Linked DNA regions of Oryzias latipes. The protein of the gene in region 1 interacts with the protein of each later gene in a pairwise test. Links are inferred from orthologs where the notes say so. Each region holds a gene or a part of one and is shown in the gene's direction. Other genes may lie near its edges.

The links.
Region 2: the proteins of rnf8 (region 1) and wasl interact in binary tests that used the Homo sapiens proteins (3 or more experiments, as listed by UniProt). The two-hybrid records come from large-scale screens. The link is inferred for Oryzias latipes from reciprocal best matches to the Homo sapiens genes RNF8 and WASL.
Region 3: the proteins of rnf8 (region 1) and ubiquitin-conjugating enzyme E2 D2 interact in binary tests that used the Homo sapiens proteins (3 or more experiments, as listed by UniProt). The link is inferred for Oryzias latipes from reciprocal best matches to the Homo sapiens genes RNF8 and UBE2D2.
Region 4: the proteins of rnf8 (region 1) and RNA binding protein fox-1 homolog 2 interact in binary tests that used the Homo sapiens proteins (3 or more experiments, as listed by UniProt). The two-hybrid records come from large-scale screens. The link is inferred for Oryzias latipes from reciprocal best matches to the Homo sapiens genes RNF8 and RBFOX2.
Region 5: the proteins of rnf8 (region 1) and mad1l1 interact in binary tests that used the Homo sapiens proteins (3 or more experiments, as listed by UniProt). The two-hybrid records come from large-scale screens. The link is inferred for Oryzias latipes from reciprocal best matches to the Homo sapiens genes RNF8 and MAD1L1.
Region 6: the proteins of rnf8 (region 1) and cep44 interact in binary tests that used the Homo sapiens proteins (3 or more experiments, as listed by UniProt). The two-hybrid records come from large-scale screens. The link is inferred for Oryzias latipes from reciprocal best matches to the Homo sapiens genes RNF8 and CEP44.

What each region holds. Positions count from the first base shown.
Region 1 is NC_019882.2:5,925,926-5,930,992, reverse strand, and holds the end of rnf8 (E3 ubiquitin-protein ligase RNF8), read left to right. Parts: intron 1-842; coding exon 843-1,047; intron 1,048-1,132; coding exon 1,133-1,192; intron 1,193-1,291; coding exon 1,292-1,381; intron 1,382-1,478; coding exon 1,479-1,586; intron 1,587-1,679; coding exon 1,680-1,884; coding exon of another isoform or gene 1,885-1,891; intron 1,892-1,977; coding exon 1,978-2,010; intron 2,011-3,737; coding exon 3,738-3,925; 3' UTR 3,926-4,128; downstream 4,129-5,067. UniProt on the Homo sapiens protein: E3 ubiquitin-protein ligase that plays a key role in DNA damage signaling via 2 distinct roles: by mediating the 'Lys-63'-linked ubiquitination of histones H2A and H2AX and promoting the recruitment of DNA repair proteins at double-strand breaks (DSBs) sites, and by catalyzing 'Lys-48'-linked ubiquitination to remove target proteins from DNA damage sites.
Region 2 is NC_019881.2:13,542,311-13,547,241, forward strand, and holds the start of wasl (neural Wiskott-Aldrich syndrome protein), read left to right. Parts: upstream 1-1,558; 5' UTR 1,559-1,888; coding exon 1,889-1,993; intron 1,994-4,931. UniProt on the Homo sapiens protein: Regulates actin polymerization by stimulating the actin-nucleating activity of the Arp2/3 complex. Involved in various processes, such as mitosis and cytokinesis, via its role in the regulation of actin polymerization.
Region 3 is NC_019880.2:25,335,379-25,340,570, forward strand, and holds the start of ubiquitin-conjugating enzyme E2 D2, read left to right. Parts: upstream 1-1,788; 5' UTR 1,789-2,178; coding exon 2,179-2,202; intron 2,203-2,932; coding exon 2,933-2,996; intron 2,997-3,140; coding exon 3,141-3,172; intron 3,173-3,300; coding exon 3,301-3,378; intron 3,379-3,594; coding exon 3,595-3,700; intron 3,701-3,809; coding exon 3,810-3,903; intron 3,904-3,990; coding exon 3,991-4,039; 3' UTR 4,040-4,040; intron 4,041-4,925; coding exon of another isoform or gene 4,926-4,971; 3' UTR 4,972-5,192.
Region 4 is NC_019866.2:20,451,741-20,456,784, reverse strand, and holds the start of RNA binding protein fox-1 homolog 2, read left to right. Parts: upstream 1-1,617; 5' UTR 1,618-2,305; coding exon 2,306-2,563; intron 2,564-5,044. UniProt on the Homo sapiens protein: RNA-binding protein that regulates alternative splicing events by binding to 5'-UGCAUGU-3' elements. Prevents binding of U2AF2 to the 3'-splice site.
Region 5 is NC_019859.2:22,955,114-22,960,270, forward strand, and holds the start of mad1l1 (mitotic spindle assembly checkpoint protein MAD1), read left to right. Parts: upstream 1-1,686; 5' UTR 1,687-1,813; intron 1,814-2,582; 5' UTR 2,583-2,618; coding exon 2,619-2,762; intron 2,763-2,855; coding exon 2,856-2,996; intron 2,997-3,069; coding exon 3,070-3,249; intron 3,250-3,332; coding exon 3,333-3,457; intron 3,458-3,533; coding exon 3,534-3,615; intron 3,616-3,817; coding exon 3,818-3,948; intron 3,949-4,952; coding exon 4,953-5,067; intron 5,068-5,157. UniProt on the Homo sapiens protein: Component of the spindle-assembly checkpoint that prevents the onset of anaphase until all chromosomes are properly aligned at the metaphase plate.
Region 6 is NC_019859.2:27,430,137-27,433,472, reverse strand, and holds part of cep44 (centrosomal protein of 44 kDa), read left to right. Parts: intron 1-64; coding exon 65-247; intron 248-2,147; coding exon 2,148-2,276; intron 2,277-2,339; exon of another isoform or gene 2,340-2,371; coding exon 2,372-2,470; intron 2,471-3,336. UniProt on the Homo sapiens protein: Centriole-enriched microtubule-binding protein involved in centriole biogenesis. In collaboration with CEP295 and POC1B, is required for the centriole-to-centrosome conversion by ensuring the formation of bona fide centriole wall.

The sequences.
Region 1 (5,067 bases):
CACTGTCCTGCCCCACTGTGAGCATGAATTCAACTAGGTAGGAGTGGCTCCTCAGACTGATTTGTTTCTTTCATTTTAAACATATTAAATAATAAAAGGAAACAGATTAATCAAATCTATTTAAGATACTAAATCATCAATTGATTAGAAAATAAATAACATAAAGCGATACCATCTTCTTGACATTATAAAACATAGACACATTCAGAACAAAAGCCACCTTCCAGTATTAGGGGCCTCACCTGTGGAACCGCTTGGCTGAGGACGTGAGGGCTTCATCCACCCTGGAGGTTTTTAAGAAAAAATCGTATAAATCGTCTTTTTTGCTTAGCTTTTAATTAACTCTTACATTTCCTAGTGTTTTCATTTGATTTTTATGGACTGTTTTTGTGTATTGCATAATGCGTATGTGTATTGGGGGCTTTCCTAATCACTATTTTTATTTTATGTAAAGCACTCTTAAGGTGTTTTACAACAGGAAAAATGCTCTATTTATTAATTAAATATGATGATTGTCAAATATATTTTTGATCAATTGCTTGAAAGGAAGTCGGGAGAATCAAACTTATATGATAATGATTCCTCCTCTATTACATCTTACATTGTTATATAATCTTCTGTCCTCTGAAAAAGCTGCTGTGGAGCTCTAATAACAAGTTTGTCCTGATCTTTTATTTCATTCAGATTCAGTTGCATTTATCTCCTGTATCTAGAAATATGTTGATAGACTGTGTTCATCTGAATCTGCCTTTTTTATTTATTTATGTTTTTGCAGTGACTTCAGCTCAACATGATGCTTGTGTTGGTGCGTCATCATTTTTCTTTCCCAAAACCGTTTGCAGGTACAGTCAGAACATTCTGTTGCTGCGGGAGCAGGTGGATGACACCCAGAGACGGGTAGCATCTCTGGAGGGAGAAGATCAGCAGGGTGACCCGCTGGTCCGGGAGCGGGTCCAGGAGCTGCAGAGTCAGCTGGGGACTCTCCGAGGCAAAATGCACCAGATGGAGACCTTAAAGAAGTCCTTCAGTGAACGGAGGTGGCCAGAGGTGAGGGTGGCTTCAGTCTGTTTTACAAGCAGGATGTGAAGTGAGTTTTGTGGGGATAAAGAAGCATTTTTGTGTGTGTGTTTAGCATCAGAAAACACAGCAGGAAGAGCAAATGAGAAAGCAGTTGAACGATGCCTTGCAAGAAGTAAGAAAATAAAGGAGTTTTCTTTCCGTAGACGGACAGCATTTATGAGATTATGAAGTGACATTATTGAGGATAAGTATTGTTTTTATCTATTCTCAGCAAAAGAAAGTGATCGTTGAACACGCCCTCTCTCGACAAGCCTTCGAAAAGATTCTCTCAGCCAAAAACAAAGAGCTGGAAGCCACGAAGGTCTGTTCAAAATCCTTAGTTTTATTCATCTTCTGCCCCTGAATGCCACAATAAATCACAATATATATAATTAATAATAATCACAATAAATCCTCAGGAGGAAAAGGAAAGGGCCCGTGCCCAGAAAGATGAAGTGGTTACACAAATGACTGAAGTTCTGGAGAACGAGCTTCAGTGCATCATCTGCTCAGAACTCTTCATCGAGGTGGGCTCTTATCAGATTAGCTTCACCTGCAAATGAGAACCACCGACCGTTAGAGTGACATTTTTTGGATCGTCTTATGGTCGTCTTCTGCAGGCAGTCACCCTGAACTGCGCTCACAGCTTCTGCTCCTACTGCATCACCCAGTGGCGCAAAAAGAAAGAAGAGTGTCCCATCTGCCGACAGGCCATCACGTCCCAAAGCCGCTGCCTGGCCCTGGACAACTTCATCGAGCGCATGATGGAGAACCTGAGCCTGGACGTCAAGGAGAAGAGGCAAAGCGTCATCAACGAGAGGAAAGGTGAGAGGTGCGTTTGTGATGCTCGACTGGACCGAAAAGCTTTCGAGTGTTAACCCAGAGCTGTTAAAAGACTTTTATTTTTGCTGTCTTCAGGTGAGCAGGTCTGTGAAAGCAGTGTCCAATCAGGTAAGTGGGGAAATTGGACTGATCTTTCAATGTCACATGATCAGGAGAGGAATTTGTGCGTTTCGTTCAGATTTTTGCACAAGAGGTTCGTTAGTGCTGTTAAGTGATAAATGCGCGCTCCTCGCACGGATCCTGACTGTTAGAAATGAGGAAATTAAACCGTCAGAGCGTAGTTTGTGTGGACATCTAACGGGCACTTGTGTATCATATGCACATCTCATCCGTGCAACATTTGCACACGCTCAGTAAGGAGCCAGTCCTCGATCCTTGCTAACAGCTCAGCCCCGCAATTCTGGAACTCCCTCCCCTCTGATCTACAAAATATGGACCATCTCTCTGTTTTCCAAACATCTCAAAACTCACCTTTTTGCCTTGGATTCATAATATTTAAACTGCTGATTTAACTGTTAACTTATTTTGTGTTTTGTGGCGTTTTGTTGTTATATTTTTATGATTTTACATAATTTTGTACTGTGAGGCGACCTTGAGTGTCTAGAAAGGCACCATATAAATAAAATGTATTATTATTACTAAGGACTACAGTAGGGGACAGCAACCTTTATGACGAGAAAAGCCAATTTGAAATATCCTCTTCAACAACTGTGCCATCACCAAGTGGAAAAGTGACAGTACTGATATAGGTGGGCGGGGTCACAGTAACAGCGTTGTGTGAATGGAGCCTTTCCTTATGACGCCATGAAGGAAAATAGCTCATCGTGAGAAGAGATTTGGTCAAATCCTAAAAATACAAGTGTTCATCTTACACTACATTATTCCCACAAAACACTTACCACAAGCACGACATTGGTACGTTCCATTTTCATGACGTCTCTTGAGGGGACCCTATGAGTTTTAAGGGAACTACAACCCACACCTGTACCCCCCCCTTAAGAGGCAGCCACGCCTCTCTACGACCCCCCACGGGCCCAGACAACCCAAAGACCTGCAGCACCCGTACGGGTCATGTGACTTAGGCTTTGATCATCTTTTCATCTAGTTTCAAAGAATTCCTATTGGTCTTTAATCATGACGGTCATTTTTAGCCAAATAAAAAAATAAATCTGTTGTTTTCATTAGAAATTAGAGATGTGGGAGGGACCATCAGCGCAGAGTAACCCCGCCCGCACTTTCATCTGTTAACACACTCTCCTGGTACCTTGCAGCAATATCGGAGCTACCCAGCCGTACAGTTTAGAACCAATGCCAGCTCAAAATTGATTTTCTTAGTGTATGTCCTCCCTCATGAGAAAAATGCCTCAATAACATGTTAAAAACACTACAAACATGATTTTCACCGGAGTGCATCCCAGGTAGAAACTCAAATGTATTGATCTATTCAGATGTGTTAAAGAGCACAAGTTCCTGAAACAACTTGGAAATCATTCCCTTCATTCTGTCACGAGTGGACTATCTCCTGGTTTTAGGGTTTAATGTCTAAAAATATCAACTTTTGTGACTAGAGTCCATTCAGTGACCCTTTGCTCAAAAGCAGCAGAAAGTGCTGAAGGGTCCAAACCTCAGGGAATGCTGGGAAGCTGCTGGGAGGCTTTCTAATAACATGTCATGGTGTCACCAGAGGGGATCTGCCGAGAGACCCTCCGTTACACAAGATGACAATACAATATGTTTCATCTTCTGTTCTGTTAGCCGGGCGTATTAGTGCTGCGTATGTCAGTGGAGTTTCTCCAGGAAGAAAGGGCGGCTCACTCTGCGTTTCTGTTTTCCAGCCGCCAACGCCGCAGAGGTGATGGTGATCCACGATGACGACAGCAGCAGCGACGGCAGCAGCAGCAGCACCGTCGAGAGCGATGGAAGCATGCTGTCCATTTTTAGCAGCCTCAGCTCTGTGTTCACTGTGGACACAGAAAGCAGCGACCATTTAGAGTTTGAGATCTCAGATGACCTTGAAGATTAACTCTCAATCGGAAGGCAAAAAACGGACTCGCAAAGCCCTCCAACAAGAAAAGCCCTCGGGATCTTTAGTTTACACTAAGAACACTTTGGTCTCATCATGAGGAAAACTTCCTTATGTTTTCTTTTTGTAAAGTTATTATTTGTGTAGTGTACTTGTTTTTCAGTGAAAAGATTAAAGTTTCTTCCTGATTACTTTTACCATTATCTTTACAAGTTTTCAACTCTTTCATGTTGCTTTTTTCTACGTGTTCTGGGTTGATATTTAAAATCTTCGCTTCGATTAGTAGCTTAAAGTATTCAAACACACAGACTTTGTGATTTTTCTACTAGAAATGTTCCCAACTAACAGACACAGCATGGGCGTATGGAGTGGTTTTTGTGCCATTATTCCAACTGTAACTTTCACATTTTTTAGCGTAAAACTTAAAAAAAATTGTGCTAAAAAAAAAATATTTCGCACTTGAAACAGAAAAACGAACTAGAAACTCAAAAATATGGGGGGGGGACAATTCTCAATCCAGAGCACCGTCTGACATACGTGCCACAAAAGCCAGCCAATCACAGACATCACCCTTTCACGCCCATGTCTGTGATTGGCTGGCTTTTGTGGCACATTTGGAACATAGTTTAAAGTTTCAAGTGTATTTTTCTGTTTCAATTGCAAACTATTGTTTTGAGCACACAAAACTTTTAAATTTTATGATCAAAACAGTGGCTGTTGCGCTCACAATAATGGCATTATAATCCCTCCATATGGGCATGTTTTTAATTCCACTTAATGCTTTCATTTTAACTTTAAACATAGCTTAAAAACACAGTTTTTATATTTTAGTCCTTTAACAAGATCTTTAATTTATATTTATTTTATTATAATCAAGCTGGTTCCGTTTCTAGGCTTAAAAAGTAAATAAAGAAAAAAAACATATATATATATATATTAAAGTGGTGCATTTCTGAATTTAGAAAAGTAGATTTTATTGCCAGAATGGTGGGGGGGGGGACTCATATTTTAAACCCCACTATTTACGCTAAAGTAGATTTTTCAGAACAGTTCTTGATACGAAAATGGTTAATTTTTTATGTATTCTAGCAGAAAAAATAAATCAAATTTTAAAGTTACAAAATGATACACAAACGTGAGTC
Region 2 (4,931 bases), on another chromosome or scaffold:
CGTGTACTTGTATACATATACACAGGCAGGAGCTGCAAACAGACGTGCTCTCACTCCGTCCCACCCAGAACTTAAGAGTGAGACAAAGTCATCGTGCAGTTTCAGCTGGAATATAACCGCGCCATTGTGTAACACTGCAGACAGGAGCAGACACGCAGAAAGCAGTTTCATAGTTAGAAGTTTTACAAAAATGACTGCCAGTTTTAATAAGATTTCGTGACAAATAATCAGGTGTTTTGCATTTTTTTATTCTAATTTTGTGAGCTTTTAAGAAAATTGATTTAAATAAAGAAGGGTTTGAAAAATTACCTTTTTTTTGCTTGAGCTTTATCAAAATAGGCAAATGAGGAGCCTGTGCTTACGTCAAATGATAAAAGCCTGCAAATCAGTACTAAAAGGATTTCAAATGAGCTAGTTTTTCAACATACTCCTACATATTCTTACATAGAAAGAAACACATCAAGAAGTGTGACTTTGAGGTGGTGGTTACATAAACTTATTTGAGCTAATAATAGCTATTTCTACTTTTTCAAGCTATCTTTAATTAGAATTTCTGTGATAAAAGGATCGACGCGTGGTAAAGTGTGACACAAAACAGAAGAATTTATTTGTGTTAGTAGAACAACCTGTTTGACTGAGCATATGGCAAAGTGGGGGTAATCTCCCTAAAGCGATTGAGCTTGAAAAAAATGTAGTACGCCAGGCAGGCAGGAGAGCTATTGTTCAAATCCACGTTTTGCTGCACCCAATTATCTGCTTAAGTAATCATCTTTTTTTTTTATTTTCTAATTTTTTACTACATATCTGACAAATATTTGTTGTTTCTTATCACATCTTCACTTTAATTTCTTATGCCCAGAGTATGCTTTGATTTGTAAAATAGAAAACTGTTCAGAAAATAATAAATAAAAAAGAGCCTTACTAAAAATATTAAGTTATTTTTGCGCACATGTCAGCTTGAACCCTTAGGTGATGTTAAAGAAATGGAGCGCATTTAATTTTCCCTTGCTTTATTTACCAGTTCAGTCTAGCTGTGTGGCACAGTTCAGGAAGGTCTTCTATTTTAAATGAATGTTAATAACCTTTTAGAAATGAATCTAAAACCTAACTTGACCTATGACTTTTAGGAGTTTTGTTATCTTTAAAAGAAAATGGTAACCTTTTTGGTTCTTAGCGAATGCCTATTAAATCCCAAAGAGTTCATTTAAAATGTGGGATTAGTTTCCTGATAATCCCTAATCCAGTAGCTGCTCATACGGAAAAAAAAATCTTATCTTTGCTGACTGAACCTTATTCCTTACTGCCTCCCATTCCCAGTACTCACATTCCTGTCATAAAAGCCAGGGGCAGATTGGATTGTACCATCTTTACGGATAACAAGCAAAAACAATAGATTTCTTTGGCAATAAATAATAAATGGAATTCCCATTGAAATAAATGTATACGCTATAGATCTTTAAATAATTGTTTTAAGTATTATTTTTATGTTTAAAATATTTTTCAAGGTCTATTTGGGACGCGTTAGGTGAACGTTCCCCCCTTTTCAAGAACAATGGAGTCGTCCTAACTGCCATGTTGGATGGAGCTGGTTTAGGGCTCTCTGACGGCTTGACTGCCCAAGAAAGTTTCTGCAGTGTTCCGCCTTCTCTCGGTTGTTCCCAATTTGATCTTATTTGGAGGAGCTACGGGACTTTGCTTTACATTCCTAACCAGCAACCATCTTTGGCAACGTCGCTTTGCGGAAACGCAGGACCAATCCCAACCGGTGCGAGGGGTCCGGAGGACGAAGGCCACCCATGACCGAGAGGAATTGTTTATGTGTCTTTTGGGGTCTCGTATTTAACGAGTAAACTCAGTGCATACTTAGTTAATCAATTGATCTCTCACGATGAGTGGACTTTCACAGCCACGGCGGCCCATTAATGCGGGTTCAATTCTCCTGACCAGTCAGGAAAACGACTGCCTTTTCAACTACCTTGGTAGAAAATGCACCGTAAGTATTGTTTTATATTTCATCAATAAAATTGATTTCTGAACGATAGCTTGCTAACAAAAACTAGCTAACATTGCTAACTTGCAAAACGTTTCCTGTCCCGGGAACAGGGGATAGTGTTCAACCGGGATGTGTTTGTGGCCTGCGGTTCAATCTCCTACATGTTTATGCGCACACAGTTGAGGCATTTGAGATTTACAGGCTAGTTTGTTTTGACAGCCAGCGCGTCCGCGAGTGCGTTTAAACCTTTTTATTGATTAGAGAGGACACATGGGAAACGTAGTTTCATTCCTGGCGTGATAAATGCTTGGTCACATTTAAGTCTAGAGCTCGACCCACCTAACTAAGTCATCCAGAATTTATGCTAACAGTAGCCTAGCATTGATTGAGTCGTGTTTGACTTATCGGGGTGTTAAAGCAGTTAAAAATCCATCTGCGACATTTCCCCCCGTTTTTCCTCTCCTTTTTTTCCGTTGACATTAATATATAACGTGACTCAGCCTTCATGTTTTCGGGAAGTGTGCCACCAAAAAGAATGTGCCAACCCAGACACATGGCTTAGAACCCAGCTGACTAGCTTAAGCTTTAAAATACATTAAAAAAGCAAAGCAAAACGGGCCAGTCACCAAATGTGATGAGCTAAGCGGAAGGAGTCGTCCCCTTCTTCAGGTGTGACTGCGGCGGAGGTCTGTAGTTCCATTCCCATGGCGTCAGAAAGTGACAGAATCTGCTTTATTGCGTAAGACATTTAGCCTTCAGCAGATTTTTTATCTTTTGATTTTTTTGGTGGAAGTCCCACCTTCTCTCATAATCCTCTGAAGTACACCATTTGCGGCTTTTAATTTTTAATTTTTGGCTTTTGATGGATGTAATGACTTTTTTCTTTTTCTTTAAAACACTAATCTTAATCAACCCATCCCTCCTTTTTTTTCCCTTCTTTTTCCATGCCACCATTCTCATGCTGGCACTTTACATTAACAATTTTTGCAAATCCCAGAGAAGACAGATTTTTAACTACAATATTTTTATTTGTAATGTGCATTTACTTAAAAGTCTCACTTCGATCATCTTTTGATCTATTTTTAAAGTGCTCCCAGCGGATTTTTACGTATGATTATGCTGTTTTTAGCCTAAATTTAAAAAAGTTTTGCGGAACAGCAGTAGTTAATTTACCTCTGAGTTGTGGGCGAGACTGTTGAAGCAGAGTAAGTCCACCCTCCCTTCCCGTCATCCATTTGTTTACACACTTTCCTGCAAGCAAAAACCCCCAACCTAACATTGGCGGTGAAACAAAAATGGCAAGTAATATAGGAGCTATCCAGTCGCACAGTTTGGAGCCAGATGCCAGCTCAGACGTGGAAAACAAAGACATATCTGGATCTAATTGTCTGCAAGTGGATGCATCAGAATGGAGCAGAGCGGGGAGCTTGTGGTCTACATCAAATCTACAGGCTTTTTTTAAACCGCATTTTTGCATCCTCTCCGCATTCACAACAATTTGAATAGATGTTCAGTAATGCAATTTTAAACTTAACTTTCCTAACACATGTGTCCTCCAACGTATGAGAGAGGCTACAAGAACATGCTAAAAACACCAAAAACATCATCTGAGTGGGTCCTTAAAAATAAACCAGGGTTGGTTAAACAGAATAATTTTTGCCTGTAAAACAACACCACAATCCTAGATTTTTTTATTGAAAGGGCATAGTTATTAAGGGCACATGTTGTTTTTCATACATATTTGAATATTGAAAATGCACAGTAGTTTTCTCTTCTGGGCTTGTCATTGGGTTGTGCATTGCGGTCAATGTCTTGCTGCAATAAACCCCTCTGCAGATCTGCTCTAAGGTCAGGTGCTGAATGATGCTGGCAGCAGTGCTGGAAGTTGTTAGGAATATTAAAAGTACCTGCCAACAAGACTCTTTGCGGCTTGGGGGGTGGGGGGGCACTTTAGCATACAATAACTGCTGAGCAGTTTTGTCAAACCTGACAAATGTCACCCAAGCTTTATCTGCCAGAAAGTATGCTACACCCTCGCTTGTTATTGATTTCCTTTTTAGATTAGTCTTGTTTTTAGAAACCGGTTTCATATTGATAAGAGCAAGTCTAGTTGCTGCGTCTGTCTTTGTTTCTTTTATGATGATGCAGGGTCATTTCTTAAAGTCTTAACTTTGTGGTTTTATTGCTGCTTCGCAGGGATTTTAGTGTATTGAGTTACTTCCACATAGTCGTATAACCCAGCAAATCCGCCATAATTGAAACCTCTGAGGTGCTCGTACGAACAGAAGTTTGCTTTGGGAAGGCCGCATTTCCTGTTTTCAGGATTCACACGGTCAAACCTGTACGAGAGCCGCCCGGCTTCCACCTTTATCTGAGCAAACGCAGCTCTGAGGCGTGTCCTGCAGATCTGCAACCTGTTTAAAAACCTCATGACTGTATTCTTCTGGCATCCTGTCAGTGGGATTTTACGTCATGTGACACAGACGTGTACGCAGGAGCATTCCCCACCTTTGTGCCTTGTGTACACAGGGTCTCATGGACAGGAGACAGAAAAATATACCATGATAAAGGAAGACGGAATGCATCTAAGTAGCCAACACTCGCCAGTGTTTTTGCTTTTTGTTTTAGAATCTTGATAGGAAATACCCAAAAAAATGCACTAAATGGAAATGCTGGATTATGAATCATTATTGAATTTCGGCTGGTGAAACGATAGTGTCATTGACACGAGGCAGCCGCAGATGCCACAGACAGGTTTCCTTCATTGGTATTCCTTGTGCTCCCTTGAGCGTCAGCAGCTCTGTCTTGCTTGGTGAAAGATGGAATGTGTCCAGTTCACACATCGAGTCTTCATCCGTGTGTGTGCGCGTACGTGCACACACACTGCCTGATCAGCAGTCATGTCCTACAGGAAGGAAGTCCTGTGGTCGACCTCCTC
Region 3 (5,192 bases), on another chromosome or scaffold:
CTCCTGGCTTGTTAACTAGTTGAACAGAGCTGCAGGTGGAAACCAACAGAACCTTAAACATCATTTCAGAAACATCCTGTGTGGTTTTACAGACCTTCTCAGCTGTGTTTGGCACCAGAAACAACCCAGAAGTTAAAAGGTAGGTGAAATTAAAGTCTTTTCTTTCTGTTGTGGGCCTTTATTTTTGTTTTACTTGAGTCTCCAGCTGGGCTTCTGCCTAAATGTCTGGAGAGAAGCTTGATGAAGTTTAGTTTGACGTTCAGTCCAACAACAAACAGTTGAGGACAGAAATACTGGCTACGGTTTCCTGGAACTGCCAGTTCCTGTTTGTCTCTGCGTCACCACCGGCTGCGAGAAACACAAACATTCAAATTTCAAGCAAATTCATTTGGGACATGCTGGAGATGTTTCCAGATGGGTGTCTGGTCTCAAAGACTGTTTGATAGGAGCTTTTATGCTCTCCATGCTGGGTTCTATAAAGACGGTTGGAGATCATTGCCATTTATTTGCTTTTTTATACAAACAACATATTTTAAAGCAACGTCATTTTACATAGAGTGTTTGGTAATTAATTTGACGTGCCACACAGCATACCTACTATTCATGTTTTTCCACAAGTTTATTTTTTTAACCTATTAAAACATAACACACAGTGGCTGCAGGTGAATTTTTCTAGCAGAAATTGAAAGATATACGACCAAGATATTAGAGAAAGAGTAAAGATAAAATTATCTAGGTCTGCATCTGAACACATCAACATTTTTTGTATTTTTCAGCACAGATCTGAAGGAATTGAATGACTGATTTCCCACATATGCTCCTCCTCTACTCAGCTTTCCAGGTTTATTGAATCACATTTCAATTTCTGAAACATCCATGGTGAAAAAAAGTTGAACATGACAATCAGGATGGAAAAAATCTAGAAGACGAAAGAGGTAAAGCCATAAAAAACAACCATAGAAAAGATCTGAATTTGTAGTGTCACAGAAGAAAATTATAGCCAAATAGGTGACTCTTTTGTAATTGGATGCTCATATTTAGAAGAGAATGATGTGTAAACTGATCAGAAATGGACAGTAAAGAATGACATTTTCTACTCTGCATGTTTCAAAGTTCAAATGTTTCTACCCAACTAATCTGGAAATATGTTGCTAAAGCAAAAGAGGTGACAGTTTTCACGCTCAAGAATATTTTCAGAGTAAACTCTGGAATGTCATTCCTGACATGGAGTTTAGCTGAAAAAGTAAGAATTCATCTTCCAAGTGTATTTAGGACTTCTAGGAAAATTTACAAGTGGAACTAATATAAAAAAAGCAAGACCTGAAGAAGTAATGAGAACTTATGCAGGTGAGCATTTGTCTGGGACAAACGGATGAAAAGTCACAAAATGAAACAACACACTGAAGCACACAATCCTCATTACAATAAGGAAGGACGTAACCATTTTGACTCCGCCCCTTTATTTTAAAATTTGATGTTCTGATTATAGTGTCATCCAGTTAAAATAATGGAATTAATTTATTAATAATCAGTTTTATTTAACAGCTGCTTTTAGAAACTACATAGTTAACAATAAATCACTAAAAATATAAATTTTAAACTCTATATTTCTGTACACAAAGGTGAGAAAAGTCTTGTGTAAAAAACTGCAGGGATGAACAGGAAGTTATAAAATTGTTGACAATAATTTCTCATTCTGCTTTCTCATTCACGCTCATGGCGAACTGACCACGCCCTCACAGCAGGATGACGGCGCATTCCCACTGACTGACTCCGCCCTCACAGGATTCTGGCTCCGCCCTCACGGCATAAAGCTTCATCTGTATGTGGACAGCGGCTAGTTAGCTAACAGCATCGACCGAAACCTGAAGAGGGGCAATTATATCAGGCCGGGGTTATCCACCTGGCGTTCGCAATTAGTCAATTCCCGAGGGGACACGGATATTTCAGAACCGAACCAAAAGAAAGGAGTTCCTGAGGAACGTAGCCAGTTTTCGTGAAGTCTTGGCCGCATACGTAGTTTTAACCTGCTATCATATCAGCTAGCTTAAGCAGACAGGCCGTGGAGCTGAGCCAGCGTGAATTATCTAATCGAAGCGGTCATCCTGGAACATCACAGCCCGCCTTTGTGCTCACTTTCTGTATCAACAATACGAAAACCCCAAACACGGAGGGAGGATGGCCCTTAAAAGGATCCACAAGGTAAGAGAACGGCGGAACTGCGTGCTAACGGTGTTAGCTTTCCATGCTAGCCTCCCTAACTATTCTCCGTCAAGGCTAACGAGGAAGTGTCGCTTCGAGGTTCAGGTGTGGAGCTCTGCTCGGCTTGATGGCGGTTATAGTTTTCAGTCCAGATACTTGTGTGTCAGAAATGTGTTACAACCGGCTGACGCGCAGCTCGCCAGCCAGCCAGCTATCATTAAATCATTAGCAGTTTCGATTTTCGACCTAACCTCTCTGTTGGGGCTGACGTCTGTCAGGGCCGACCGGTCTCGGTCGTTGTTTTTGCGTTCGGTTCTCCGTGATTCACACCTGACCAAGCCGGCCAGGGCCCACGTCACGATTAGCCTCGTCGCGCGTGTGCGCGCCCGGCTGAGTTAACTCCGGCCCGGATGGGAACCGGGCAGCCCCGGAAACCGGCAGGCCGCCCGCAACTTGCCGGTGTCTGGAAGCCTCTATGAGGAAAGGCCGGGGTGGGGCCCGGCTCATCCGCTCCAAAATAGACGGTCACCTAAAAATAAACATTATATGGACGGGCTGTATGTTTGCTGTGGATATAAAAACTGGGCTGTGCGGGCCCGTCCGGGGGAGGGGGTATGGGGGTAACCTTAACCAGGGAGGACGTTGTTCCTCACATACTCGGTGTTTGGAGATGTTGACGTTCGTCAGACTCTAGTATCTTCATGACTGACTGAAGCTCCTCTCCTGACAGGAACTGAATGACCTGGCTCGTGACCCCCCAGCTCAGTGCTCTGCTGGCCCGGTGGGAGATGACAGTAAGTGATCCGAACACACTGATGTAAATCTGAAAACCACATATGTTAGTGGATGCCGTGAACAGGAAACAGCGTTCCTGGCAGGCTGTGACAGTCACAGTGACCTGTAAGCTTCTTTATAATGCTTCATTTTTGTCCTTGCAGTGTTTCACTGGCAGGCTACCATCATGGGACCTGTGAGTACATTTTGACCTTCCCGTCATGTTATGGTGGTGGGGGGGGGGGTCTCACTTTCTTCATATAACGGCAAATGTTTATGCTTGGATCTGTCAGTCCTTAACTCGGTTTAAACTTCTCCTTGCAGAGTGACAGTCCATATCAGGGAGGTGTTTTCTTCCTGACAATTCATTTTCCAACAGACTACCCCTTCAAACCCCCAAAGGTGAGCTGCTATGACGGGTGTCTTCTGTGCGTTTCCATAGTAATGAGTTAAGACAGGATGTGGTGCTGCCTTTTGATTTAGACAAAGCGTTTGATTTCGGAACAAAGTGAAACTGTAATTCTTTTTTTTTCCTGTTTACATCATCTGCCGGTCCAGCCTGTTCTGTCGCAGGATCTGCGTTGCATAACTCAGATTTTTGTTGCGTCTCTCCCTCAGGTGGCATTCACAACAAGAATTTACCACCCAAATATTAACAGTAATGGCAGTATCTGTCTGGATATTCTCAGATCACAGTGGTCTCCTGCACTTACTATTTCTAAAGGTAGGAAGCTGTAGTTTGACGTTTAATAATTAACTAATGTCTTTTAATGTTGTGGAAGAAGTTTGCCTTCCGATGTCAAACTGAGTTTCCGTAAACTTTTCTCTTGTAGTTCTTCTCTCCATTTGCTCACTCCTATGTGACCCAAACCCCGATGACCCATTAGTGCCAGAGATTGCACGGATCTACAAAACAGATGGTCAGAAGTGAGTAAAAGCCGTCCTTTTGCATGTGACAAGACCCTGATCCCACCTTTTTTGGTTGATCCATGTGCGTGGATTTCACTTTGTTAGGTACAATAAACTAGCTCAGGAGTGGACGGCAAAGTATGCCATGCTGTAGGGTAAGCCTAGTGCTGCATCTTGACTGGTATCTCTTTCTCACCTTGGCAAAGATCTAACTGTTGCACTAATCTGTGTGCACACAACCAGTGTACTCGGTCAGATTCAGTCTCCCTTTTGTACCCCAGCTTCAGATTTGATCTGATTTTCTTCAGACGTTCTGAATGTGACGAGTTTGACGGGAAATGAACTGTATGCATGACAGTGAAAAAGTGGTTCAATTTGACGTGTCCTGCTAAGTAGCTTTTGGGGTCAGGCACAAATGTGTCTGGTGTGGTTAAAGTCCCACTTTGATCATCTTTTGATCTATTTTCAAAGCATTCTCACTGGTCTTTTAAATATGACTATTGCTAATGCAGAGCAACCCCCCCCCCCCCCATTACTGAGAGCTCCCCGTTTACGTGTTCTCCCCCTAGCTTAAAGTCCCTCACAGCCCCAAGCTAACATTAGCAGTGCAACAAAAATGTTGAGCAATATTGAAGCTATCTAGTGGTACAGTTTTTAGCCAGATGCCAGCTCAGACGAGGAAACAGGTTTTTTTAATCCTGTCTTTATTCACAAGGTTTGAATAGCTTAATTTATGTAATGTCCTCCATCAGAAAACCTCCGATAGAACGTATTAAAAACACTATTTTCAGTGGAGTGGGTCTTAAAAGTTCAGCACATCCAGGTTGAAGGTCTGCTAGTAAACATGTCTACTAATCAAGGTATGAGTTTCCGCTTTTTGTATCTTGTGGCGCTGCCTGAATGCGAACCGCATTGCTTAAGGTTGTAGCTGCTGTTGTGGCTCCTCCCACTACGCCTTCTCACCCTACAAAGTTATGTAAAGAAGTTGGATTGAAAATGCAGCCCCCCCCCCTCTAAAATCTGTTTTTATCCCTCTACAGATACACCAAAATGGCAAAAGAATGGACACAAAAGTACGCAATGTGACGGCGTTCATCGGAAGCTGCTGAAACTGTTCGTTTAAGATTAAAGTTTGGGTTTTTCTTTTTCACTTTTTGTTTTTATTAATCACCACTTGACCCCCCCCCCCCCCCCCCATCATTTTCTTTGTTTTCCTGACTATGAGAACGACAGCGTTTTCTCTCTAGCCCCCCCAACCCAAACTCAAGTATCATTGCAGTTTTTGGAGAAAAGAAATCAGCTTTTTG
Region 4 (5,044 bases), on another chromosome or scaffold:
GACTTGAGACTAGCATGACTCCATGAAGGAACCAGGACAAACAGCCCAAACTCAAGCAACACTCCGACACAGAGAGCAAAATTGGACACAGTTAAATAGAGCTCAGGCAAATGAGCCTAAGGTGCAGACAGCTGTGTGCCAATCAAGGACAGCCACAGGAGAAGAGGTGGAGCCAGAACCCACAGCCAACCTACACACAAAAACAGGTAGAACAAAACAGAACTGAAGACTGTGACACTAATTTGAAATCGAAAAAAATCAAGTTTGAATTTGTATTTCAAAATTATAAAATTATAATGATCAATTTCACATTTAAACTCAAACCGAAACTTTAAATTTGCATACTTGTACGATGTGCTTGTTGATGGCATGGTTCCAGGGGACGGCATTTCCAGAGTTGGTGGCAAAACATGTATTTGAAGTGCACACAAAAGCCACGGCTATTTAAAATCAACAAGGTCATCATCAGCATGTCTTAAAGCTGAAGCGACTCCCCTCAAAGAAATACATGAGCTTTACGACAAGTCGGAAAGGATTTTAAATCCCTTTAGAGGTCTCTTCAAAGGGCAATTTACCACTACAAAGAGTAATTTTTTCCTGCTCTTGCCGTGTTGAGACAGGCAGCGGGCGGCGTGCTCTGACCCCCCTTGCAATTCATTATTGCAGGTTCAGTTGACAATTGAAGAGTCCATGGAGGTAAAGTCAAAACAGTTTATGGAGTGAATCACTGACACTGGGTGAAAAGGGTGTTCATTCACTGCACTTTCTATCAGACACTCACGCACAAATGGACTGTTGGTCTGAGCTCATAAAATATTTGTAAATCTTAAATCCGATCAGCTTTTACAACCCAAACATGTGTCTCTACTCTATCAGGTCATGAAGGGAAGTACTAAAGGGAAACACTTTTTTTTACACTTGTTAAGAAATGACAAATGATTTGCTATTTCTGGCTCAAGCTTTTGATTATAAAATGTCCTAGGATGACCTCAGCAGAGGAGGATGTTATTGCTTCTGTTTGTGTTCGCTGCGGTTTGTGATCCGCCAGGGGGCGCAAAAGCACAACAAAACGGCTCTAATGTGTCTATAAAAATCAGAACTACAAACAGCAAAATTTAGCATAATTTGTTTTCTTTTTGCTTGAATTTGTAAAAAGATGCTCAAGGTTAGAAAGCTTATAATTAACTACATTACTCAAAAATGCTAAAATATAAATCAAGGTATAGAGTAGGAATGAGATGAGTTTTACAAAAAAATAATAAAAAATGACGCTGAAATGAATTTTCATGAACAAATATATTAAATACAAACTCCGTGGTGAAATACATAGCTTTGTTTTTAAATTTTAAACCTATTAGTCAAATGGGAGGTTCAAATCCCGTTAGATAAAAAATGTTTTTGTTATAAATAAATAATACATATAAATAAAAAAACATGTTTATATATTTTTATAATTTTAAAATTATTTTGAAATACTGTTTTACCACAAAAACGAAACACACACACACAAAAAGTAATAAAAACCGTTGCGTATTAATAATGAAGTGAGGACAGAGGAGAAAGGAGGCGATGGTTGATGGGTGGGGGGATAGGAGACCGACAGCAGACCCCAGACCAGCCCGCCTCCCTTCACACCCCGCATCTCCAATCAGCGTCTCCTTGGTGAAATCTGACCGCGGATCAGCGCAACAGGACTCCCGCCACACTACGGAGTTGTGACTGAGACCAGAGGAAATCGTGCTCGCCAGGTCGGCTCGCCAAAACTCATCCACAGACCTCGAACAGGGAACGGACAAGCGGGAGGAAAACGCCTGGAAGGAGCCACGCAGAAGTTTAACGCCAGAACAGCCACACCGGAGAGCGGAAAGAGGAGCGGCTGCGCTGGAGGAGTAGTATTACGCTCAGCTCATTTCCAACATTTTCTATTCTTGGCAGAGTCTCTGCTCCCACAGCCTCATTTAAAAGGAGAGCTAGCGGAATGTAATGCTAGCAGGCTAGCATACGTTGGCTAGCTAATTAGCTCGACAGGCTCGGACGTGGGATTTTTATGAAAAAAAAGGTCGTAGTTTGGCGTCGATTCGACTTTTTATATGAACCGCAGGCGTTTGGTTGCTGTTGAGACGGGACCCTGACACCTTCATGATGGTGTGCCGCGCATAGCTAACGCGAACTTACACAAGAAACAGGACAAGGTTCCCGAGTATTGATGTTAGTCTGGTCAATATTGTCAAAAAGCTGAACGCCGAGGTGTGAAAAGCTCGAGGAAAGGTGAGCAGAACAAAGACGCGAGAGTGTCCGCCGTCCAATGTTAATGTCGACCGACGTTGCATCCCTAATGCTACCCGTTAACCGGGGAATAATGGACCGCGAAAGAGACATTGAGACAGCAGCCGCGGCGCCTCACGCCAACGCAGCCGGGGGTCCGGCGGCTGTCCGCGGGATGAAGCGGGGGGACCCCGAGCCTGACGCTCAGACAGCCGCTGCCCTCACCGACCTGGCCGGAGCGGAGTGCAAAAGACCAAGGATAGACGGCACCGGGAGCGTGGTGGGAGACATCGGACAGGTAGGAATGCAATGTAAACATTAGGGACCCATTAGTCATACTCTTGTTTGTTTTATCCACAGCTTTTTGTTTGCCACACAAACAAATAAGCATTCTCTGTCTCCGATTTTTTTTAAAAGCCCATTAACAACAAAGTAGCGCCGTCTTAGCAACAGAAATGAATGCAATTAGGAAGAAAAATGTTTGATTGATCATTTGAAACGATCCCCTGATCGTGGTGCTTTGAGGGAGCATGACCAGCCCAGACAAAGGTAATATGATCCAGGCTCCATGGCTGTAACAGGCAGCAGCAGCAGCAGCAGTAAAGATCAGAGCTGCTCATCTCGCCTGTCTCACACAAATAAACCAGTGCTGTGTGTCAAATGATGCCAGCTTTTGCACATTTCTATGGAAGAACCCGCTGGAGATCATTTTTACAGAGCCACCCCAAATTGTTCCACACATGGCATGTGCCATTAATTGCTCCATGCCCCCCCCCCCCCCCATCCCTTTTCCTTGTGGCTAGGTGTTAAAAGAGAGGCAGACAGGGATTGGGGGAGGGGTCACCGCAGAGAAAGACAAAGAACAGAGCCTTTCTGCTGGAGGCTGAAGGAACAGGGGGGGTGGGGGGTGGGGGCTTTCTGTACACCGGTCTTCCCTGCTTTCATGACTCGACAGCTGAGGCAGCAAAGCATCAGCAGCCGGTCCCCCTCTGGAACCGGTCTACTGTAATACAGTACACCACGGGGCTGCTTAGACACTCTTACTTGTCCTTCCAGGATCTGTTGCTATTTCTTCCACTCCATGGCATTCACCCACAAACATAATTCATACGCCTACACGCATATGCTTTGAAGGGCCTCTAAATCTACTCGTACCATGAAAAAATTCAGCTAGCGTCTGGTGTTTTAGCCCAGCGATAAGAGCGCAGAGAGTGGTTGAAGGGCAGGTGAGCATGGCAGGAGTCCAGGGGAATTGGTTTAAAAAAAAAAAAAAAGAAGGAAGGACCTGCTTGCAAAGACAGAGGAGTGCTGTAAAGCTGAAAGGTTCAGAGGACGGCGCAGATGATGCGATCAAATCGATCGCTGTGCACTTTTTATGGGATGGCACACGAGTTACGCCAGCTGCAGCCATGGAGGATGGGTAAACTGGTAAATGAAAGGTAGGCGAGGATGAGTGATCGGTGGATTAACTCAGGATGAGAGAGAAGTGAATTAAAGGTTAAGAGTGCAGAGCGATGCATGGCATCAAAAGTGGCTCGAATGTAGACGTAGATGGATTGCCGGAGCAAAAAAGGGTAGAAACAGGAGAGGGTAGGTGTTTTTTAGGGGGTGAATAAAGGGTGGATGATGCAGGGAGAGGGGTAGAAACGGGAGCTGTTAGCATCTGTCAGGATGTTGGATGAAAGGAAAGTGACGGATGGCGCTTAGAGAGGAGATGTGCTGGGTGAGACAGTCAGGAGATGAAAGGCTCACTAACACTTTACGCATAAAAGAAAACGACATTGAGGCTTTAAGACGGTAAATCTGGCTCTGGAGTTCCACTCAAGCTGAAGGTTGGATAAGTCCTGGGGGGTGGGGGGGTGGACTCCCACTGAGGGAGCGGGCACGCTCCTGACCTTCCAGACTGACTGTAAATCAGCACAGTAATGATAAATGAGAGCCGCCTCTTCTCTTTGTTACGCTCTCCCATCTCACACAAACAGCACCCCCCCCCCCTTTATTTTTCATCCTTGCTTCCACTCTCACATGTCCTCTGATTTGTCCCCCATCTCACCCCCCAGGCGTATTTCCAGATTGCTAATTGACTCGTGGTTTTGCACGAAGCACCCCCACCTCTCCACCCCTTTTTGTATCAGCAACCCCCCCCCCCCCCCCCATCTTTCATTCTCTCCTCATTTTTCCGTCCGCCTCCCTCTGCTCAAATCTGTGCCCCCTCTCCTCCGCATGGCTCTCCTCTCATGCTTTAATTTCATCTTTATTTCCGCCCATTATTTCTATTATTTTTTTTAACCCCCCCCAATAGGCTGTATTGATGCGTCTCCTCGGGGCAGTGCCCCGGTCCACTCGGATGTGGCGGGAGTACAGTGTCAACCCTCTGCGCAGCGCTCTCCCTGATTCGTAGAGCCGATTTGTCCTATCGTTGGCAGTAAAGCGGCTTTGTGTCGCGCTAACGAGATCAAAGCTCATTTAGGAGAGGGCATTAACCAGACGGATCGCTGTACAGGGCCAAAGCAGGGGGGGCAGGAAGTAGTGGTTGCTATGAATGAACGTATTCCAGGGACAGGGTTGTGTGGTTTGACGCTGTTGACTGCAAATAGTCATTCAGATTTAAAAACGGGGCTCTACCTTCCTGTGTATTCAGAGGCCTCAGGGAGCAGCGCAGGTGGATTTGTGGGTCGATCCTGTAATGTGTATCTGTAGGGCCGTCATTAAAGGACTGTCTGTCTGTCCGGATCCTTCTTCTTTTTTATTTCTCTTCCTTCCTTTTAAGGTCTTTTTT
Region 5 (5,157 bases), on another chromosome or scaffold:
CTCATGTTGCCTGTGTTAGCGACAAAGTCAGAGAAGCCAGACTGAGATGGTTTGGACATGTTCAGAGGAGGGATAGTGGATATATTGGTAGAAGGATGTTGGAGATGGAGCTGCCTGGCAGGAGGGCAAGAGGATGGCCAAAGAGGAGATATATGGATGTCTTAACAGAGGACATGAAGTTGGCTAATGTTAGGGTAGAAGATGTTCATGATAGAGTGAGGTGGAAAACGATGATTCGCTGTGGCGACCACTGATGGGAAAAGCCGAAAGAGAAAGAAAGAATAAGCCACTAAAATCTTACCATTAGCCCAAAGAGACATATTATGTTCTTGGAATGAGTGGCCATTCATCTGCAATTTTTGAACTTCATTAAAGTTCAAAAATGTGGAAAGAGTGAAACTCTGCTGCTCTCTGCAGGAAAATCTAGGTACCTAGATATTTAGGAATCATGGTCTAACATGTGATGGTAAACATGTTAGAAAATAACAAATCACTAATACGAAATAAGAATTGGAAGAAACAAAAAAAAAATAGAAAAAAGGCACAAAAGAAACAACTCAAGGAGAAATGTATTAATGCCGGATAAAAAAATCAAACAAGTACGGGAGAGGTTTTAAAAATATGCTCATCAAGAAGTTTTTAGTGCGGCCAAAACTGCAAACCAGAGGTTTTCAAAAGACCTGAGGGCAGAACATGAAAAGTCGCAGACGGCAGCTGGATCCCAAAGCTCAAGAATCTTGAACAGAGACATTCCTGGAGGAAGAGGTTGAACATTTGAAGGAAGCTCACAAAAACCTCAGCTCCAAATCCGATGCCCAGATTTCAGCTATACCCAAAAGTAAGTGGAAATCCTATACCAAGAGCTCGAAAATCAAAGATCTCCTGCACAAGAACTTCAGTTCAAGCAGCAGATCATCAACAGCCTTAAAGAGGAGCAGGACGTTTCCCTCCACGCTGTATCCAAAGAGATCCTCCCCATGCGCGACCATTGCAGAGAGCTGTGTTTTCAGGCAGAGCTGAAAAATCAGAAGTTATTGTAAACAATTAAATTTATTAAAGTTAATTTAAATTAAACAAATTAAAAGTGTTTTAGTTCTAATTAGCAGACAGTAAAACAAAGTATGTGTGCAGCAACTTGTGCGATTGTTATTTTTAATGAGAACACCTTGCACTAAATCAAGGCATTTTCACTCTTAAAAAACTATGTGCAAAAATGCTTCCATATTTATGTCTTATGGTATATTTAATTGAAGAAGTACAGTGTTTTAGGTTCTTCATGTGTCAAAAAACATTATTTCTGCCCCCTCTGCTTCTGAAAAAAGAAATGTGTACCTTATTTGCCATGAAAAAATAACTGGAAACTGCTTCAGAAATGATTGATTACTAAGAGATGTCTCCTATAAACCTCTGCATAGAATTTATGATTGTTTTAATGGCAAGATATATTAAAGCAACTGATCCCTACTGTTTTTTCTGTAAAGAACACCCAAAAAGTATTTTTATTATTATTATTAATAATAATGATTGTTATTATTATTTTTATTAATGTAACGTACTAGGTTATTTATCATACAGTCAATACGTATGATATATGCCATCTCCTGTAACTGCGTTGATTTTGCAATTGAATAATAAAGTTAAATGGGGAAAAAAAGGTTACTTCCTGTTGGTATTATCGCGATACTACAGGCTCTCATTCGAGTACTGGAGGGATTTCTCGTTTACTTGCTGAGCAGCTGCTAGCACATTAGCAACATAACAAGAACTTATCAGTTCCCGACAGACATTTTATCGTAAATAAGCTAGTTCTGGGGTAAGTTGTTTAGTTTTTACCCGAAACTTTACAGAACCTTTTGGTACGATAAGCGAGCTAGGATCTCTTTAACCTTTGGACGTTTCCGTGTAGGTGTTTGTCTCATCATCATCATGCTACTTTAATTATCGTAACTGAAAAAACAGACAAACAAACAAAAAACTTTGAATTTTTTGATCTCGAATGTATTTTTAACATGTTTTTTTTAATATGCATTATGTTATTGTTCTCGTCGTTGAACTTGGTATGTGTTTCAATTTTAATTTATGTAAATTAAACTTTTTGTTTAAGCTTTTTATCAGTAAGTCTGGTGATTAATTGACATGTTGTTACTTTTTTGTGAATTATTTTAAGTCTTCCTGTGACAGCTGACGACTTGATCGCGTTTTTATTTATTTTTTAGTTAGATATTTGGCAAAATGGTTATAGTGTTTTGGCAACTTTTTTAAAAAGTTTTTATTAATAGATCTGCGTAATTGCAGAACAACTCCCTGGCAATACATGTCTTTAACACTCTTGGATCAAAACTGACAAACATAAGATGTATCAACTAGTTATAGCCACTTTTTAACTAACATCATGTACTACCTTAATTTGTAAATGTTTAAAGCAGTCGATTTCTTCTTTTTTATATTTTAGGATTGTTTTTCTTTTGAGTTTTTGTATAGTCTATCCATTAATCCTTTAGTACTTATGAGCAAGAACATGATCTATATGTCACATGGTGCTATAATGTGATATTTTGATGTTCTTGCTTGTGTCCTCCCAGCTCTTGTGTCTTTACTACAACACCAGTAAACCCAAAATGGACTTGGAAGATGACACAACCATTTTGAGCACCTTAAAATCTTTCAACACTTTCATCAGTCGTCCTGAGCGTCCACAGCTGCCGTCTGAGCGCTCAGCAGGCAGTGGAGTTCTTCAGAGTCAGTACAAACGCAGCATGGAGGTACAGATAAATCATTTGCTGTGAAAGCAAAATTCAGGAATTAACGACAACCATTCCATCTGACTATTTGCTTTCCCTCTGGCGCATTACTAGATTTTGGAAGCAGCAGAGAGGGTTCACTCTCAGAATCGCTTTCTGCAGTTGGACCAGGAGAAGAAACAGATGGAACTGAGCCACAAGAGAGCTCGTTTTGAGCTGGAGAAAGCGGCTTCCAACAGTGCACGAGACTTTGAGGTATAGTGCATATTCAGCCTTTTCACAGCCATATACAAATAGCATTTGATTATTTTGTGTTGTTATTTTGCAGCATGAGTTGGACAGAAACCAGGATCTTTTGGCCAGAGTTAAAAAGTTGGAAGGGAGGGAATTTGAAGCGGATAAAAACTTATCAGACCAGGTTGAGGAGAACCAAGTTCTCCGTAGGAATCTAGAGGCCGTGAACAAAAAGCTGGAGGAGCGAGACACCAAGCTGAATACGGCTAACAAGGTTCCCGCACAGACGCACACCTATCTGTCTCTTCAGGAATGTCTGTCATCTTACATTCAGTCCTTCTTGCAATCTGTTTCCAGACCATAACTTCTTTGAAAGATGAGCTCAGAGAGTTGAGGCAGAAAATTCAAAACCAAGACTTGGTGTTCTCAGCCCAAACCTTGGAAAAACAGGAGCTACAGGAACAGCTGGATCTGCAGCGCAGGTAAATCCCAACATTTATGATGGTTTTCTTCTTTTTGTTAGATTAATAAGATGTGTTATTGTGTTTTTTTTTTCAGGAAATATCAGGAAATCTCACAACTATGTCAAACTCTCCAAGCTGCCCAGTCTTTATGCTCAGAGCACATTATAAAAATAAAGGTAGCAATCACTTAAAAAATTTGTCGTAAAGATTAATATTACATTTTTCAAGTCTGGAGATGCAATAAATGCTGTTTGTTATTTTAAATCGTATCATTTGAATGAATCTAAATCAGTTTATGATGAAATGAAAGTACTGCATGCTTTGGTAGAAGGTTAAAGGAGCTTTTCTTTTTGGATTTCCCTCCGTCTGATCTTACAGGAGCTGGAGAGGCGTCTTATTCTGCAGGAACAAGACATGGCAATCGTGAAGACTATCAAGTCGGAGGCGGCGAAAGTTACAGATCTGGAAAAAGAGTTGAAGCGCCTTCGAGAAGAAAATTCTTTTCTGAGGTGGAAAAATTTATACGCTTATGATTTGTAGATGTTTAATTCATCATTTCTTTATTTTATTTTATTGTGCTCTTTTTTCTTTTCTTTTTTTGCAGATATAGCAATGTTTTATGAAAAAAAAATTAACAAAATAGACATGAGCCTGGATTACTAATGAATAATAATGAAGACAACCTCTCAACAAACAATAATTCCCCTGGGTTTTTTGGTTTGGGATTATTTCTCAGCAGGACAAAAAGATTCAGCTTTTATTTTAAGCTTGGATATCGCAGCTAAAATAACCAGTTTCTACAATGAATGCCATTCTCCTGTGGAAGTGTCAACACAATGTTTCAGTGTGAAAATGGCTGCAACAGTCACAGAAGCTAATGACAATGCTGACTGTCAATTGCCATGATAACTGATGTGAGAAAATCTAGTTTTCATTGACTGGATTTTAATAATCAGTTTTAGTTTTTTTTTTGTTTTTGTTAATATTTTCATCTAACTTTATTTTATCAGAAAATTCCACCAAATACCATTATGAAGGGAGAACAACAATCTGCTGATTTACCGCTATCATGTCTTTGTGTTTGCATGTTGCTGGGCAGATTACAGATGCTTTTCCGAATTCACTTATTTGTGGATTCTGTCAACATAGTTTCATTAATAAGTATTTTTAAAATATGTTTTTAATATTGCTAATTCACCCAAAAATATTTAAGTTAGATGTGTAAATAGAATAACATAACAAACTGGATTTTCAGCTGTTTGAATTTCTCTCTTTTAACTTCAAACTTGATTCCTTTCTGAAGATTTTTAATTATGTTAACATTTTGGTTTACTGTGGAAAACACTGCTAAGTTGCTGTGGAAGAAAAGGAGCAAAAATGTTATCCATTTATCAAATCAGTTTGATCTATAAAAAAGTTTTTTCATTCTTGAAATATCCAGTAACAGATTGATGATTGCTGAACCCTAAGCTTAGAGTGACTGTGTGGTTCTGCTGTGTTTCTATTTTGTCAGAGAGAGCAGAGAGAATTACAACCTGTTGAAAGAAGAAGCAGAAGGACTTCGTAAAAAACTGGAAAGGATGGAGAAAACCAAAGAAGAGCTCGTCAATGTGGAACTTGAAAAACAGGTGTGATATAACAACACAAATAGTGCCGATAAGGACACAACTATGCAACACAACATGCACAGTTTAGCTCAAACACAAAGTTTTGCCACC
Region 6 (3,336 bases), on another chromosome or scaffold:
TGAAAATTCCAAATGATGATGTCAAAATTAAAACAAAAGATCAACATTTTTTTTTTTTTTTTAGATCTTCAGGGAGCCGTTTATTGTAAATCTGGCTAAAACTCCGTCCTCTATCACTGCAATCGCCTCCAGTGCAGAAGAGTTTCCGTCCTGTCCTCCTCATGCTGACGTGGATTCCTTCATTTCTTCTACAAATGAGATCACAAATGTACCAATAGCAGAGGAGCCCAGTGATGGCACTGTTTGTGTAAGTATTTCCTAAAAATAAAGGGGATCTCATCCATAACAAACATTGTTTTCCAGATTCAGTGTCAGTTTGAGTTGGTCTAGGTCATCTTTTCTGTATCTATATGGTTCAGAGGCCCCACAGGATTAGCAAGATGTTAAAAAGGCTCTCAGAGAAAAATGTCTTCTGACCAATGGAGGAATAGCTGTTTGTTTCTCTATAGGGAAATTAGCCTCTTGGAGCCAGCGGGTACTTCCTGTTTGGACCGTGAGGGGGGAGGGGACCCTCAGTCCAGTTCTCATTCACAGTCAATGGTCTGAACTGCTTGAGGTAGCGTGACCTTCAGTCACAGCTGTGCTTGAAACCCATTGTTGGTTTAACCTTTAATTCAACAGGTGATGCTAAAACAGCTTCTAGTAGAAGTTTTGGAGATGAATGCAGAGAAGCCAGATTGAGATAGTTTGGACACATGACAGGAATGTACCGTGACAATGTTTATAAAACGATTCGGAGGTTGGAGCTACCAGAAAAGAGGCCTAGATGAAGACCAACCAGAGGAGGTTCATGGATGAAGAGGAGGAGAACAACAGAGGGGTTTGTGTGAAGGAAAAGGTTAGATGAGATGTGGGGACCCCAGAGCAGTTGAAAGGCAAAAAAGTAGAATACTCCGTGGAAGTTTTAGCTGTCACCATTCACACTTTTATTGTTGTCGATAAGCTGTTTTTCTAGTACTGGAGAGAGCAGATGTTTTTATTCCCTGAACTTCAGCTAGAACTGACAGATGTCAAATCTACAAGAAGTCAATTTCATGTGTTGCAGCAAAGTAGCTAAATGTATTTATGCATCTTTTAACAAAAGCCTGCTGGGTTAGATTTTAGATTAAAACATGATTTTTGAACCAAATTAAAGCTAATAGCAAGACTCTGAAGTGTTCCAAAGCTGATGGGTGCTGAAACGCCTGTGAATGAACAAATGGGCTAAGCTATGCTGGAGATGATGTCATGGACCAACTTCAGTATCTTGAGTAAAGAAGAGGTCGCTGTTTTAAGTTCGGTTCAAAGCTACATTTTAGATTTAGATTAAGATTTTTTTTTCAATAGCGCTGGTTGGGGGCGTGTCCTCCTCGTTTCCACTGATCAGACACAGCTTTCCAATGTTGTCGTACTTCTGTCCACAGACTGATTATGCGGTGACCTTTATCCCATCTTATGAAAGCTCCAGGGTTTCCCACCCGGTTCTTATGTTGACGGCTGTGGAAGCATCATAGGAAGGAAGACGCTTTTATTCCTGTCTTCGTTTCCAAACAGGATTTCCTGGCTTGGTTTATCTACTGGATAAAACATGAACTCCCCATCTTTGTTTACACATTAAGCTGACAGGGCCGAAGCCATTTCCATTTACCAGCATTACTGACAGCAATGCTGTTTGGCTTTACACCATGAAAGCATGCAGACCAAAGGGCTGAATTCCACATACCTGGCATGTTCCTTTTGGCTGGACACACCTGATCCAGGTATTTAGAGGTAGGATATCTGGAGGACATGCTGTCACACCGGCGCTTTTTACCTGGAGTCCCCCACTTTGGATGTAGGCCTAAGACCCATCTCTTTAACTTGACTTTTTGCTGTCTTTCTTTCGTTCGTTTGTTCATTTATTTATTTGGCAATGTTGATCACCATGAGATGAAGGGTTGTAGGGGTGTGGAGATATTGTGTAATGGAGAGGGGATCTATTTTTTTGAATAAACTAACTTTTTTCTTATTGTTTATTCTAGTGTACAGCACTTTTTGTTATCAGATATGAAAAGTGCTATTTAAAAAAAAAAACAGATTTGATTTAAATATCAGTGGACTAAGCATCAAACTCTAGATTGTACATGTCTTTATCAATTACTAGTATTTATAGTATTCATGTCATTCAGTTATCGGGGATGGAGAGCAGACTCTCAGCGTTGGAGGTTCAAGTGAATCAGATTTTATCTCGGTTCAACAAGCTGGACATTCTGGAGAAACGTCTGGAGGAACTTGAAAACTGGAAAAGCACCGACAAGGTAAACTAGTATTGACTAAATTGAAAAGAAAATGACGAACTGTACATTTAACCTCATGTTTAGTTTGGGCCATCTTGCACATGGCTGAATTACAGGGGGACAAAGAAGTTATCACAATACCTCGAGAGAGCTGGGAAAACCTGATGGGCAGAGTTCTTCTACTGGAAACCAAACTAGACTTGAAAAATCCAGAAGTAAGAAACTTTGTTGCTTTCCCCGTTGATGCTTTGCATCCATGTCATTGCTTTTCGTGCAGTTTATCTGGGTGTCTGTCATGTGTTCACTTATTTGTAGTGCTGCCATTGGCAGGAAGTCTGTTTTCTCTTCTTAAAGTCCCACTCTGATCATCTTGTGTAAAAAGTGTTCCCAGTGGTCTTTTAAATCTGATGATGCAATTTTTAGCCAAAGTCACAAACCTGTGTGGTTTTCTAGGACGTAGTTTCTGCAGAGCGGCAGGTAATCATCAGAAATTTGACTGAGTTGTGGGCGGGACCATTGGCAAGAAGCAAGCCCGCCTCCATGTTCCATCCCCCATCTGTTTACGTGCTCCCCCACTAGCTTACAGCCCCTCACAACCCCAGTCTAACATTACTGGTTCAGCAAAAATGGCGAGACGTAAAGTGTCGAACCAGATTCCAGCTCAGACGAGGAAAACAAAGATGTTTATGGATCTATTTGTCTGCAAGTGCATGAATCGGAGTGGAACGGAGCAGCGACCCCCCCCCCAAAAAAAAAAATAAAGCTGGGTTTTTTTTCTTACATGAGTGAGTCTTTTACACAAGGCAAAGCGCGGCTGCATATGACAGTTGATCAAATACTGCAGCCTCCATGTTTGTATTCTGCCAAATGTCTTTCTATGCTGATATTTTGGTGCATCTTCACAAAAACTATTCTTCTTAATAGAAACGATATATGATCTTATTTATTTAGCAAGTAACTGATTTAAAAAATAATCATGTTACATTTTTGACCCAAATGTTGACTTTAGTTTTTTAGATCTATGTTGTACAAATCCAGACAAAGCTCCAAGCCTTCTTTTTGACTTCTTCATGGTGCAGAA